2 linked regions of the Alligator mississippiensis genome follow. The protein of the gene in region 1 interacts with the protein of each later gene in a biochemical or structural test. Links are inferred from orthologs where the notes say so. Each region holds a gene or a part of one and is shown on either strand. Other genes may lie near its edges.

The links. The genes of interacting proteins can lie anywhere in the genome.
Region 2: of the proteins of SRC (region 1) and TAMALIN, one has a biochemical effect on the other in vitro, tested with the Homo sapiens proteins (2 studies listed by BioGRID and IntAct, with this or other methods). The link is inferred for Alligator mississippiensis from reciprocal best matches to the Homo sapiens genes SRC and TAMALIN.

What each region holds. Positions count from the first base shown.
Region 1 is NC_081832.1:17,296,009-17,303,440, forward strand, and holds the start of SRC (proto-oncogene tyrosine-protein kinase Src), read right to left. Parts: upstream 3,008-7,432; 5' UTR 2,962-3,007; coding exon 2,888-2,961; intron 1-2,887. UniProt on the Homo sapiens protein: Non-receptor protein tyrosine kinase which is activated following engagement of many different classes of cellular receptors including immune response receptors, integrins and other adhesion receptors, receptor protein tyrosine kinases, G protein-coupled receptors as well as cytokine receptors.
Region 2 is NC_081838.1:6,439,329-6,446,450, reverse strand, and holds the start of TAMALIN (protein TAMALIN), read right to left. Parts: upstream 3,003-7,122; 5' UTR 2,960-3,002; coding exon 2,846-2,959; intron 1-2,845. UniProt on the Homo sapiens protein: Plays a role in intracellular trafficking and contributes to the macromolecular organization of group 1 metabotropic glutamate receptors (mGluRs) at synapses.

The DNA.
Region 1 (7,432 bases):
CACAGTTCCACCCCCCCCAAAAAAAAAAACACAACAAAAAACCTTACCCAGCTCAAAATATACATTCTAATCCCAGGTCCCAGAAGGCACAGTTAGTTCTGATGCCTTTGGCTCAGTCTCCTGGGGGAGCCTGCATGCAGTGATGAGGGCCATAGCCCAGTTAATTGTCTCTCCATAGGTACCTGGAGATGAGGTGCTCCTTGCCATCCAGAATGACGCTAACTAGTCCAGCTTATTTTCACCACCACTGAAAGATGCTCTTCACACAATAGGACTGTCTGTACTTAGTAATTAAAAGTGCCTCGACACAGCAGAATTCTTAGCATGATGCGAGTACTCAGTGCAAGGGATGCCTCGCTACGGCGGGAAAAGCCTTGGTGCAGTGATCAGCTCCCGCCAAAACTAGCAGTTGCACCATTTGGATGCAGGCTACCGATTGGCTCATTGTAAATTATTCATACCGGCGGCTAGCAATTGGCTCACTAGCCGTATAAAAGCTTGGGTAGTTTCCGCCCAAGTCGGAGAACTCCGCGTGTACGTTGGGAACTAGTTCCTCGTGTACCTTGGAGCAAAATTGGGGCCTGATCAACCACCAACCACTCCCCTTCGACGACCGTCCCGACGTACCCCATACCCTGCATGCTCAGAAAACATCGGTGATTTTGCTAGTGCCTACACTGTGTGCATCGTCGCAAGTCCCTGTACGTCAGTTTGTAAGTAAAGTTCTTTTCAATTCAACCAGTACGCGTTTGTGCCTAATTCCACTCCATCACAGCCCCATTCCGGCTATACTCGGCACCCACAAGGACCAGTCCTATAAAATGTGAGGAACTCCATGCAGCTGAAGATGCTGCAGGTCACAAGACAAGTCCCAGCCTTTCATTGGCAGGTCGAAGCAAGGGAGAAGGGACTGTGGTTGCCATGGCAATCTTGATGGTCATTTATGTCACTCAAGGCCTTTTGGTCCCATCAGTCCCGGCAGGGTCTCTCACAGAAGACTCTGTCCAGCAAAGGCCCTAACTGGGAGACAGAAGTCCTTGACTTTCTCCTCCCCCATCCGCTGCAAGCCACTGTTCCATGGCATCAGTCCAGGTTGCAGGCCTCAGCTGGGCAAAAGCCAATATTCAGGTCTGGCTCTACCACGCAGTGCACCATGAAGTTCCTTAAGGTAGCATGAAGAAGGTCACAGCACAATATGCATCATGGAGGTACACGAGCTCCAAGCCAGGGTCAGTACAGGCCAAGAGCCTATATGGCACAAGTAGTCACTAGAGGGAGGGCTCCATACTTGGCATAGGGGAAGATCCCCGTTTATGCTGTAGTGACCCGTGGCAACCCCTGTCCTTCCCTGGGTTTACCACTTTAAGAAGGATCCATTAGCTTTGTGCTGAATCACAGGAAGTACACTGCTCTGACAAGGCCCAATTTGGCATCTCCCTTACGCAGACATCTAGGGCTTTGGCTGCAAAAACAGAATACAAAAACCTTGGAAGTGCTGCAGGGTACTGGCTTGCACTGTACTGTTCTGCTGGGACAAGAGAGAGCAGTGCAGAGGCAGAAAGGAATACAGGGCTATTGAGCACAATGTACAGAGGCAAAAATAAAAAGCCAGGATGGAGGATAAGAGTGAGGGAAGTCTCAGAAGGTATGGGGCTGGTGGAGGGAACAGACATGTACCTCAGTCCTCCAAGGTAGTCACCCTTCCTTTGCTCAACATAGACTTGACACTTTCCAAGCTCTGTGCTGTCTCTGGTTACAAGTCAGCACCTTTCTGCGCTGCCTCAACACAACCCACCCCTGCTAATACAAACCCATGACCTACCATAGGGAGCCTAAACTAGAAGTAGGGCTGAACAACAGGTTCACACATCGTTAAGTCTAAAATCCCCTTTGTCAGGGTCACAGAAATTTGGGGAGAGAGGGAAAAGGCCTCTGGATAAAAGAGACTCCCTTCCCCACACAAGTGAATGGCTCAGGTCCAAGCAATACCAGCAGAAGCCCCACTGAGCTCCCTCGGGCTTCTGTTGTCTATATAGCAGATGAAGGTACAACTGCAGTACAGCTATGCCAGCCCACAACACCTTTATATTGCTAGTTCAAGTAGCAGTGAAGATATAGCAACATCAGCGTGAGCTGGCAGATCAAGTATGTGCTCAATGGCCCCATCAGGCCTGTGTTGCCCCCTCTTCACTGCCATCATTACCCATAGGAGCCTGATCAATGCTAGCTTGCCTTTGTTGTCTGCGTAGCTCTATCCTTTGTGGGCAAAGTGACTGCTGGTGCTCCAGCAAGGTGCTCCTCTCAGCAATGCTGCCAGCTTGTAACTCTATCCCTCCCCACCCCACTCCTTATGCAAAGGATGAGTCACTTCAGGTCACCCAGCAGGCAGCTTTCTCTAGCACAGTAGCTCTTAACCTTTTTTGTACCAGGAACCATTTGTAAACATCAATGGCCAGTCCAGATCCAGTGTCCCGTGCTCAACAACCTGCTGCCCCTGACCCCCAGCCCCCAAACATGTCAGGTATGGGGGGGCCTCCCCAAACAGCCCCTTGAAGGTTGAAACTCTACCAGCCTGCAAGGGAAAAGCCACAAATTCCCCCTTTTTTCTTCTTTAAAGGAGAATCCATTTTTAAAGTGTGTAGATCCATTTTTTAAAGTTTGTGACTCTTTCATATATTATTGTGAACTGTGGATCATGATCCACAGACTGAGAAACGCTGCTCCAGCAGATCTTTAAGAAGGACAAGGGACTGGTTATAGGTGGTTCAAAGAGAGCTGATCCTGGCCAGGAAAATCGCCACATTTTTGGCAGTTGTCACAGCAGCTAGGCAGCTGCACTGATGATGAAAAGGTTAAATGTGATAAACAACTTAATTCCAAAATCTACCTGCACAGACTGAAGCAGTATTGTGAAAGCAGCCCTAGAAGGAGCTCCTGATAAAAGCCTGAAAGGGTCAACATCTATTCCGTAGTACCAGGAAGGAATGTGCTTTGAGAGAAGCAGTGAGGACATATCAGGAATGTGCTGTGTGCGAAGGTCTCTGAAAGAGAGAGAGAGAGATCAGTGGCTCTACCAGGAGGAGGGAGAAAGAATGAGCCACAGAAGAAAAGAGGAAGGGGAAAACACAGCAGGTAAATCCAGTGCCCATTAGATAGCAGCCAGGCCAACTCCTACCTACCCACTCTAGCTCCATCTCTTTCAGCCCTGTTAAACAAGCTTCTGGGAAGTTACCAGATGAAAGCAGACAATGCTAGCACCAGCAGGATATAGCCTCCCTGGGGAGTGGCTAGGCGCCCCCCCGAGTCACAGCAGAGCCAGAGCAGTGCCAGGCACAACCCTTTGATGCAGGTACTGCTGCTACTTCAGGAAGGAGCCAGCACTGCCAGGGCTCCTGGCCCAGCTTTCCAGGCCCTGGTCGCAACACACAAGGAGGGAAAACCCAGCCTGGTAACTGAAAGTGTACCAAGATCCTGGGTGCAAAAGATAGATGCTTCAAAACCAGACTCCTTCTCAGCCCTACAGCCATTACTGTGCATTTGTGTTGGTAACGCTGAGTTCCACTCATGGACCAGGGCCCCAGAGGCACAAACAACCAGCTCCAGCCCCAAGGAGCTTACAGGCTAAGCTCAAGTTCCAAACTTTACGCAAACTGTAAAGTGGTCACCCATGGGCACATCTCCACTGAAAATGCACTGCAGGGTAATTAGCATGTAGGCAGAATTATTAGCTCCACAGCAGCACTATTGCAGTGAAGCTATGCCACTTCCAGAAGCAGTGTGCCTGGAATGGTGCAATGCGCTTGAGCCTGCCCCCACCAGGAATGGCAAACTTTTCAAGCAGAGCAAGAGAACCAAGATGGGGCAGAGAGAAGAGTGGGATTACTTCCCTGGACAGTGACCAGAAACAGTTTATGATAACATTTTCTATCCCCTCCCCAATCTCATTTTTTCTCATAATCAAACCACCCCTACTCCCTGCAAGTTTAAAGCATGCAGCAATAGAGGATGCATTTGATTATGGGGAGAGAGGGAGGGATCTGTCATCCCTGTTGACACCTGGTTTATCAGAGATTAGGATTGCAAAGAATGTTCACCACAATAGGGCTCCCTCCACCCCCCCAAGGTGAAGTGCAGTGCGATGGAAAGTGGCCAGCATTCCAAAACACTCATTTCTGACTGATTAGACATGGCATAATAAGGCAGGCTTTTCTGCAGCTGGATTAGTACACAAGGCACGTTCAGGCCTGCAGGAGCTCTTACTGTTTCAGCTGAAGGGAATAATCATAAGCGACTGGTTGGAGGTTATGAGTGTACTGAGCCGTTAGGCCTCAACTCTGTCCCCTACACCCCAGATAGAACAAGAAATCACAAACAGTTTAAACACAGCTGGTGGTGTCTGCTGTGGAGATGCCGACAAAGATGACAACAAAAGAGACTTCCCACCCACAGCAAAGTGTGGTGCTCCGTCAATTGCTTCAGGTCCACACACTCCCTGGTAGCTGGGCTGAGACTTGGGATCTCAACACCTTTAAATGAAGGGGTTAGCCTCGCCCTCGTTACAGCTGGTTGTATGTTAAATGGTTGAAGTTTAATGCCCCCTTCACCTCTGCCCAACTAAGTAGAAGCATCATACCCACCTCTGTCCAGCTACAGCTTTTCAAGGGGTGGGGCAGCAGCAGGCGAATTCAGCTTAGGTCCTCAGGATCCTGAAAGATACAGGGGGTGAAAGGTTAGCGCAGGGTCTTCAACACACTGCTCTCTGTTTGCTGCAGACAGGTCCACTGGGTCTCCCTCCCAGCCAAGCTCATAGTTCCCTGCACTCCAGATGGAGATCAGGCTGGTGCCTTTGTTCCCCTAGTCTTGCCCTCAGCCACCCTGAGGGAAAGACTGCCTTAATCTAAAGTCCCAAGCCTCTTTTCACTCCCACCTTCTGCAGGCTTGTTACCTTGGCAGCTCCTTGAAGTAGAGGGCAGCTAGCTAACATCCACCTCCTGATCCCTCATGTGTGAGGAGCGGGATGATTCTCTGCTCCACTTCACTGAATCAAGAAGGAAAAGATGGGGAGGATGGTTGGTGGCAGCCCAGAGCTATTGATCAAGCTTATGTCTGAAAGTCTCTCTGCCTCCGACAGAACGCAGTTACTACAATGCATGAGGAACTATGCCCCGAGAGAACCAAGCTGGCCTCCCTAGTACCCAGAACTGCCAGTTCTCTTTAGGAAGGAGAGAAGTTCCATCTCAGTGGGTTCACACACAAGCTCCATGTTGTACTAAGTGAGCAGGGATGTCATGACCAGGGATCTGAGTTTTGTTTCCCCAAGGGAAAAACAAAAAAACAACCCCCCCCCCCCCCAAAAACAGAGAAAACCACGTATTTCCCTCTTCACCAGAGGAACCCATGGATTTTGCAGTTTTGCAAAGAGCTCTCTGCAGGCTGGCATTGTTATAGCTTGTAAAGGGCTAGGAGAGGGCATCCTGTGCATGTATATGCACATGGGCCCAGGCAGCCTGGAGAGCAGGTCCCACAGGTAAGTGTGAAGGGGGGAGATTGAGGCCCCCATTGGGAGGAAGGGAGTTGGGCAGGGCTAGGGCTGCAGCCCAGCTAGGCAGTGCATGGGGCTTGGAGCCTGAGGATGCAATACATAGCTGCAGGGCCCTGGCAGGGAGTGGGATGGGACTGTGGGCAGCTCATATGGGAGGCAGAGGGGGACGGTTCCCCACCATTGCGTGCACTCCAGAGGGCCAAAGGGACCCGCATCCCCAGACCTGTTCATGGGGCAGGAGTGGGAGCAGGCTGCCCACTGCAGGCTCAGACTCCTGCCCTGCTGCCCTCCCCGGGGCCTCTGCAGCCCAACAGGTGAGACCCAGCACTGCAGGGCAGAGTGAGGCCATGCAGGAAAGCGGCTTACCACTGTGAGCTCCGCGCTGCCCTGGTGCATGCTCCCTGTGCATGTGGTAGCAGCAGGAGGCGGTGGAGCCCCTCACTGTTGCCACGCATACAGGGGACTCGTTGCCAGGGCAGCATGGAGCTCGCAGCAGCAGAGATCCCTCTGCGGCCCCACTCTGTCCTGCAGTGCTGGGGTGCACCCACTGGGCTGCAGAGGCCCTGAAGGTGGGCAGCAGGGCACCCTGCCCACATCAGGGACCTGGGTCCCTGGCCCTGTAGCCCTGGCAGCTGGGGGTCCCCTCCGGCAGGGAAGGAAAGCTTAGGGATAGCATGGCCGAGAGCAAAGTACACAGCCCAGCAGAGGATTTTGGAGTGTTTGGTTGGTGTATTTTGATTCGCTAAAGCTGACTTGCACCACTTGGATCCCATTGATTGAGCATGCTCAGATACTGCCACCACTTGGGAGCAACCTAGCCCTGTTTTCCTTCCAGAGGCGAATCCATCGTTAGCCTCGTCAGAAGTGCCACCAGTATCCAGACACAACATGCACCCAGTCACTTCTCTCCATTTCCCCATGTGTCATGCCTCTAAGCAACTGTCCATGCTGAAATTCTGCCTTCCATTTATTACTACACTAACCTTCACCCCTGTTGGGGATACCAGGAGGAATGGAGGAGCGCTAAAAAAAGTGCTACATAAAAAACCCAGCAGACACTTTACACTTGCAATAGCATCTTTGAGAGGAACACAAAGCACTTTATGAATCCCCATACTGACCACTCCCAGACCTGCTAAGCCTCAGCTGACCTCTAGAACTGGATGAAAATATTACTGAAAAAAATTCTGTTGTAGGGAGATGAGGAGGAAGCTGGTTCAGAGAAACATATTGGTCCAAAACTAACCAAGAAGAGCACAGGTGTAGGACATGCAGCTGGGAGGCAAGAGACCTCAATTCAGGTCTCTTGCTCTTCATGATTCAGAGCAGGCACTTAAACATAGGTCACCCAGTCTAGCCAAAATCCCCTAGACTCGCTTATCTTTTCCCCTATCTCCATCTGCCCCAGCTCCTGCAGCTAATAATGGTAAAAGCACTGGTCTGGGCCAGTCACTAGCATTTATAACCATGCTCTGACCAGGGTTAGAAGAGGGTAAGGTCTGGAGACCGAGACAAAAGATGCTAGTGACTGTCTGTTCCCTTTGAGCTATAGCTCCTGCCGGCAAAGCTGCAGAAATGGAAGACTGTATAAAAATAGCCAGTGTAGAAAGCCACTGTACCTTCTTTCATTGGGTCCTTGACTATCTAGGACCAAATAAAGCCTTTGTAGCTTTCTGCCTGAGACTTGACCCAGCCTGACCTGCTTGCCTTGGGAGTGAATAAGATCAATACAAGAGGGTATGGCAGAGACTAACAGCGGTGTTGTGTTGTACAATTTAAGCGTAGCAGAGGATGGACATCCCTGTGTATCTTTTAACATGCAGCCAATGTATTCTACTGCAGTTTTATTCAGATATCCCTCCCTTCCCCCTGCTAATAAGTTTTGTCACT
Region 2 (7,122 bases), on another chromosome or scaffold:
CGGGGCCAAGCCTCTGGCCTCCCCGAACACACGGCCGCAAGCCAGCATGACCCTTGCTGAGCCCGTAGCCGGTCCCCCAGCATCGGGCAGGCTGGGACCCCACCTTGGGGGCTCGGAGCAGCTTGCCATGCCAGGGACCCCCAGCGCCTCTCTTCAGCGACGGGCACGGGCCGTCGCCACCCCAATGGGTACCTGCTCCCCCCCAGAGCTGCATGCACTGCGCGGCGCTGCCTTGGGGGCGGCGGGGACAAGGGAAGCCTTGATGCAGGCCACAGAGCGCTCCTCACATAGCGCCTTTTGTCCTGGCCACAAGCGCCAGGCCCAGCCCTGCCCGCGAGATGGGAATAATTATGCCTCCATCTGAAGATTAAAAGCAGAGCTTGCATCTGTTTAACACTCCTTCTCCCCCCACTGACGTCAACGGGAACCGCCGGGCCCGTGTCACGTCCTGCGCATCGCGAGCTTCGGGCCCCGGGGGGGCTGCACGCTCCTGGGAGATGAAAGCCCCTCACACAGACGCTCCTCTGTTTTATCCTAAAGTCCGATTTTTAATACCAAGCTCCCCCCGCCCAGCAAACAATCCCGGGCATTGTTGAGCATTGAGAGACGCGGGAACCAGGGTACGGAGGGAGCCCGCGGCCTGGCAGATTTGCCAAAGCATTAGTACAGAGGCATCACCCTGGCCGTGGGCGGCTCCGGACCCCGAATGTCAGCCGATGCCACTGGGGCACGGGCAGGGCCGGGCCATGAAGACCGGGCTTTGTCACCAAGCGGCTCCAGCTCAGCCCCGGGCAGCGACAGCAGGTTCTCATTAGCTGCCTTCCACGCCCACTGGGATCCTGCCCGAAAACAGCCGCTGGCTCGCACGCAGCCAAGCCCACGTCCTCACCCCCCGATGTGCCCCCCACCCCTGGGCTGGGCTGATCTCCCCGGCCTGCACAGTACTTTGGGGGTGCTGGACACCTCCCCAAGCCGCACCGTCCTTGCCCGGGAGGCTGCCGCGTCCAGAACACGCCGTCCTGGAGGCCAGGGCCGCCGTCCGGAAGCAGCAGGACGTGACCCAGGCGGCAGCAGGGAGCTCTGTGCACCAAGGGATGGAGCCACGGCCAAGGGCCGAGCACGGCAGCCGCTCTCCCCTGCAGGGGGAAGGGAGCTCGGGTAAACAATCAGCTCCGGGCCAGAGTCCGGGCCCTTCCTGAGCCACAGGAGCCAGTAAGTGCGACGCCTGGTTCCCGCCCCGCCACCCGCTTGGGTCCTGGCAGAGCCGCACATGCGAGTGGCAGCCCAGGGACCTGCTAGGATGGGCATCTCCCTGTGCAATTCGACGCACGCTCTTGCGCAAACACGTGCCCCCAACATGGAGCCGTCAGGGTTCGCCAGCTCTGCGGAGGGAGGGCTGCAACGCATCGAAGTGCTGCCATCAGCAGAAGCGAGTTCCCCTGTGCGTGCTCAGAGCCCTAGGAGGAAGCCATGTCCCTCCGGCCCGATGCAAATCGCCCTGGCCCTGCATGGAAATCCAGGGTTTGCAAGTGAAATGTGCCCCAGATGTGCTGGGCGGTGCCCAGCATTTAGCTACCGCAGGCAGGGGTGCACGGCCCAACCGCTGGGCCGCAGGACAAGCCTCGGGAAAGGGGCTGCAGGGCAAAGCTGGCCTGGCCAGGGACTGTTGGTGCTGTAGCAGGGACCTGGGGCTCAGAGCTGCCTGCTGGGCACGCAGCCTCCCTGAATGCAGAACAGCGCCCCTGGGGTAGGCGGCAAATGCCTCATGCCCAGGGCAGATGCTGGAGGCACCAGGCTCTGGTGCCAGCCACCACCCTTGCACCCAGGGAGCCCAACCCCTGCCTGGGGGTGACCCGGCCACGTGCCCGGCTCAGGGGGACGATGCTGGAAGAGCCCCAGAGCCACCCCAGCGCCTGCACGGCGGACTTGCAGGACGTGACCTTGCAGCATATCAGCAGAGACCACGAGGCCCGGCCTCGAGATTCACTTCTGCTTTGCACGCTCCAGTGACCGCAGCTTCCCACTCTGCTGCTGAGCCGAGTCAGGTCCGCATGCGGGGGGAAGGGGAGGAAAGCTGCAGCGATGCCCCCAGAGCCCCCTGGAGCGGGGTTGACTTGCCAGCCCCGTGCAACAGGCGTGGCGCCCCCGCCCTGCGCACGGCCGCCACGAGACCGTGCACGAGCAAGCGCCGCGCTCGACGCCCACGTCACCCGCAGGCCTCTGAGCGCGGACCCCGCTCTGGGAGCCATCGTCGGGCCCGCGGCACAGGGAAGGTCCAGGGACTGGCACGTCGCCGTCCCCGACGTGACACCCACCACGCTGCTCCGCGTGGGGCAGGGGAAGGGCGCGCCCGAGACGGGCGGCATTGCCGCAGCAAGGCCACGGTCGCCACGCCGGGCCCGCGGCCAACGTCCCGTCGGGGTAACGAGCCGCCGCGGTCCCCCACGAGCAGCCGAGTCGCTGATCGCCAGCGGCTCGCGGTCGCTACCTCCACGCACCGTCCTCTGCGCCTGCCACGCCGGCCTATTATGGGATGGAGCCGGCAGGCAGGAAATGAGTCCCCGCCGCTCTCCGGAGCCGCTGGAGCGCAGCCGTCTGGCCGCCCGCCCGGTCCCTCCGTCCCACGAGGGGACGTGCGCGCACGAGGGCTTCCCCCGGTCCTCGCGGGGCCGGGCCCGGAGCCACCCCTGCTGCCGGCCCGCAGCCCCCCTCCCCGGGCTCCGGGTCCCGCGTGGGGCAGGTCGCGCGGGGCCCCAATGCGGGAGCCGGGCGGGGGGGGGGGGGTGCCCGGGGCCCCGATCCGGGAGCCGGGCACGGGGGCGCGGAGCGGGACCGGGGCCCCTACCTTGCGGGCGCGGGGCAGGGTGCCCCCGGAGGCGGCCAGAGCCCGGTACACGTCCGCCGCCTCCTCCGCCTCGTCCCGCGGGCGCGGCCGGGCGCGGGGCCGCCGCAGGGTCATGGCCGGGCCGGGGATGCGGGCGCGCCCGGCCGCACGCGGCTATATCGGCCCGGAGGGGGCGGGGCCTCGGGACACGCCCCCTGTCGGCCCCGGCCCCGCCCCCCCCGCGGGCCACGCTCCGGGCGCGGGGCCGCGCCCACGCGGGACGTCACCCAGCAGCGGGGCCCCGCCCCGCGCGGCTAAGCCCCGCCCCCTCCGGCCAGCCCCGCCCCCAAGTGCCCCCCCACGCGTTTGGGGGATTTTGGGGGCACCACGTGCTGTCCTCGCGTGCCCCCCCCAGCGTGTCAGAAACCACATGCTTGCTGCACACGTGCGAGGAGGAGCAGGGGTGTCCAGGGACGTGCAAGAATGTGTGGGGGGTGTTGGACGTGCAAGGAAGGACCTGCAAGGACATGCAGGCACATGCAAGGGCGTGCAAGGATGTGCAGGGACAGCCAGGGACATGCAGCGACGTGCAAGAGTGCGCAGGGATGCGATCCCAGGTCTTCCAGGCCCCCCAGGCACCCGGAAGGGGAAGCAGAAGATGGAAGTGTCAGGCCACGGCCCGTGGACATGGAGCCCGACCCCACAAGCCAGCGCCCGCCTGCCCTGCCTGCGGGGCCGCCCACACTGGCCCTGCCCAGGGCACAGAGCTGCAGGGTCTGGGCCCAGCGCCTGCCGCCTCCTCCCCAGCCCGGAGCCCCAAGGCCTTCGCACCTGGCCCAGGGCACGTGGCATGTCCACAACTGCCCCTGGTCCCCAGGAAGGTTGCTTGCCTGATCCATGCCCCGCCCGCAGCTCTGCCTCTTGGCCGGACCAATGGCCCTGCCTGCAGGCATCACAGACTGCGGCTCCTCTGTGCCTCAGTTTCCCCACTGGAGAAGGCCGGACCCAGTCTCTGGCCCAAAGCTGCGGTGGCACAAAGCCACGTGACTGTCCCGGGGGTGCAGAGGAGTCTGGCACCAGGAAAAAGCTCCCACCCTGCTGCCTATGACCTTGGGCTCGGAGAGCCCACACCGGCCTGGTTGCCTCAGGCTGGGCCGAGGGGACTCATCCCTGGGCCCGGGGCTCCCTCTGCCGCCAGCCTGCCCAACTGCAGGGCACAGCCACGTCAGGGAGGTGCAGAACAGGGCTGGCAGGGCTCGCCCGAAGCCACATCCCCTGCAAGGCTCTGGGCAGGGCCCCCACCCGACTCATCTCCCCTGCCCCAAAATGCTTCTGGGTGGGGGGCACGGCTGATTTGCACCTCCCCAAAGCCCCCCCACCGCCTGCCGCACTGTGGAGACGTGGATCCAATGCCAAGCAGATACAGGCCAGGAGCCAAACCCAGATGCCCCCCACTAGCCCCCAGGGCCGGGCCCAGCTGCGCTTGCCCGAGGGGGCCCAGCCCCCCAAAAGCATTCCCCCCTCTGCATGTGCCGGGGGCCAAGCAGCTGGTTCTCATTTTTAGCAAGGAATGAGCTGCCGCCCTGCGAGCTGCGGCACGGTCTCAGCACAACGAGCTCCAGTGCCGGAGCTCGGGGACAGCTGGCCGGCAGCTGAGCACGTTTCGCAACCGCCAAGGCCGCAGAAGCATCCTCCAGATGAGGATGCCAAGCTCCCTCCTGCGTTCTCGGAGTTTGCACCCCCGCCCCTCCCGGCACTGGCGGGAAGTGTCCGTCCCCCAGGCGCAGCCAAAACTGCAGCAATTAAAGCAAACCAGACCTCGCCCTGCCCTGACTGCAGGGGGAGACCAGCCGGGCTGGGGCCAGAGCAGAGCGGACCCAAAGCCGCACGTGGAAATGCAGCTGGGCCCTGCAGCAGGGAGGCACCAAGTGCCCACTGGGGCTACACAGCCAGCTGACACTCAGGGCCAACAGCACCTTTCAACACAGGAGCTTGCAGCACTTTTCAAAGAGGGTAATGTAAGGCTCATCCATGTGCCACCTCGTAGCGTGGCAAGGGGTTGACCCGATAGGGACGGACCAGCTCTATGTGCCAGTGTGGACATTCCCAAAAGACCCATTAGGCTAAAGGAGATCGTTCTGCTGCAACCACTCTGCGCGTAGTGTTAACCTTAGCGAGCGCAGAGCAGGCCTACAGCTAACGGACAGCTCCACATGGGTACGAGTCGGTGCCCTGCCACCGTATTCCTGCACAGACGGGGCCCTGGGGTGTCTCTGCTCCCCCAATGCACAACCAGTCCTCATGCCTGCTGTTACCTTGCAGCTGCACAGCTGCTCCCATTGCATCTCCCGAGGGGGCTGTAGCTAGCGACCAGAGGTCCTTGCTGGTGGGATTCATACCACATGCAGAAACTTGCGATAGGCTGACGAGCAGATTGAGAGCTGATCTTCCTGTTTGGAGATGAGTCCTGAACAGGATGCAACGCCCGCTCAGGGCGCAGCAGGGATCTCATTTTTGCAGATTTTTAAACCTCAAAAATAAGAGTTGAGGGGGCCAGACCATTTTAAAGATCATTTAAGGGTTTGGGCCAGAAATTGCAACCAAAACAGTGAGTCACAATTACAGGAGCACGAAGGAATTTGTGTGGCTGGGAGGACTAAGAGGCCAAGTCAGGACTCCTGGGTCCCACATCTGCTTTTCCATCCATGCTCTGTTCATTCAGGGCAGCAACCAGCTCTGTCCAGGCAGGGGCAGCAGAAGCCCTCCTCCAAGCTCACAGAGAAATGAAGACATCGGGACTGTGTGTGAAGGATTTGCAGGTTTTTGCTCCTGACGCACCTAAAAAGAGCAGAGTATTGCAGGGAGAGAAACAGCCCCCAAGAAGCTGAAGACACCAAAACTTCATCCTCCTGCTGCAGCTCAAGCATCCTCCGGCAAGCTTGTTCAAAGCCACAGCAAGTCAAAGCAGCACTCGTGGAGCGTGCAGGGCACGACCTCTTCTCCTACGTGCCGACAGGAACATGCCAGGTGGGATCGGGGATTCTGCCCAAGGTTTACTTAAGAGTCAGTTGTCAAAAGTTAGTTTGCAACAGTCCCGCTGGCGTTGCTCAGCCCTTGCACACCCCTGGGACAAGGCAGCCTTCAAGCTACTGGGTTTGGCTGTCACAGGGGTCAGGCTGTACCAGAGACCAGAGCTGCAACAGCCCTCACCCAGTCCCAGTTTGCCCCCAGGGACATAATTTAGCTAGATGCTACACCTCTGATGCCACGGCCCCCTGCACAAGTGCACACGCAAATGGGCCAGGTACTTCTCTTTAAATAGCAACACCATGCCCCTCTCGGGTTCTCCCCTTTCTGGCATGGCAGGGTAGTGAGCGGTGCTCACGACAGCAAAGCAATTGAAGCTTAAAAACCAGGGCAGGGAGGACAGCCCAGACGGCTTCCCCCAGACCCTGCTCCAAGCCAGGCACTAATTGTATTAGCCTGACCCAGAGCAGCTGAGTGCACCATGGTGCAAGGAGGATTTCCCCCTTGATCCGTTCACAGCGCGCTCCATTTCAGACAGTGTCAAGCAACACCAGCTCCTCTTCCAGCAAATATGTTTCCTACCCAAGTGCAGGGGGGCTGGACCCGACGATCTGTAATGTTGCTTCCAGCCCTTAACGACCATGAAATGATGAAATAGGATGCTACAGGGATGCTAGAGCTCAGGGGGGCAGGAAACATCCTCCTCCTAGGCTGGCTTTTCAGTAACATCCCATCCATCAGCCTCATCCCCACCAGCAGAAATCCTCTTAATGAGGCAGATGCTGTTAATGAGCAGCCTGGCTGGCCCTAGGGACCAGGCCCCAGCCCCAGCCCCCCTCCATGCAGAGCCAGTAAGGGAAGGCATCTCTTCACCAAGGGGAAGATGGCACTTGCACTGGGTCAGGCCAATGTTAGGTTCCCAGCAGTGCCAGGCACCCAGGGTACCAGTCCACACTCAGCTGGCCAAGGCTCTGCCCTACTCAGCCTCCCCTGGAACACAGCTTGCTCTTGCAGTGCGTTTCTACCATGGTACGGCTCAGTGGCAGTGCCAGGGGCCCCTGGCTATGTGGAGGCTGCAGCTGCCTTTAAAGTCAGCAGACCTGGATTCATGTTCTAAGTAGGAAGGTCATAGGTTCAATCCTTGCTGCTAACAACCCCCCTCCCCCAAGCACATCTAGTCTTCCCATGTGGAGCAAGAGGGCCAGACCCAGGTCTTGGTCAGAGGTAGGCCAAGCAAGGGTCATCCTTGTCCAGCTCCCCAAGGCCAGGGT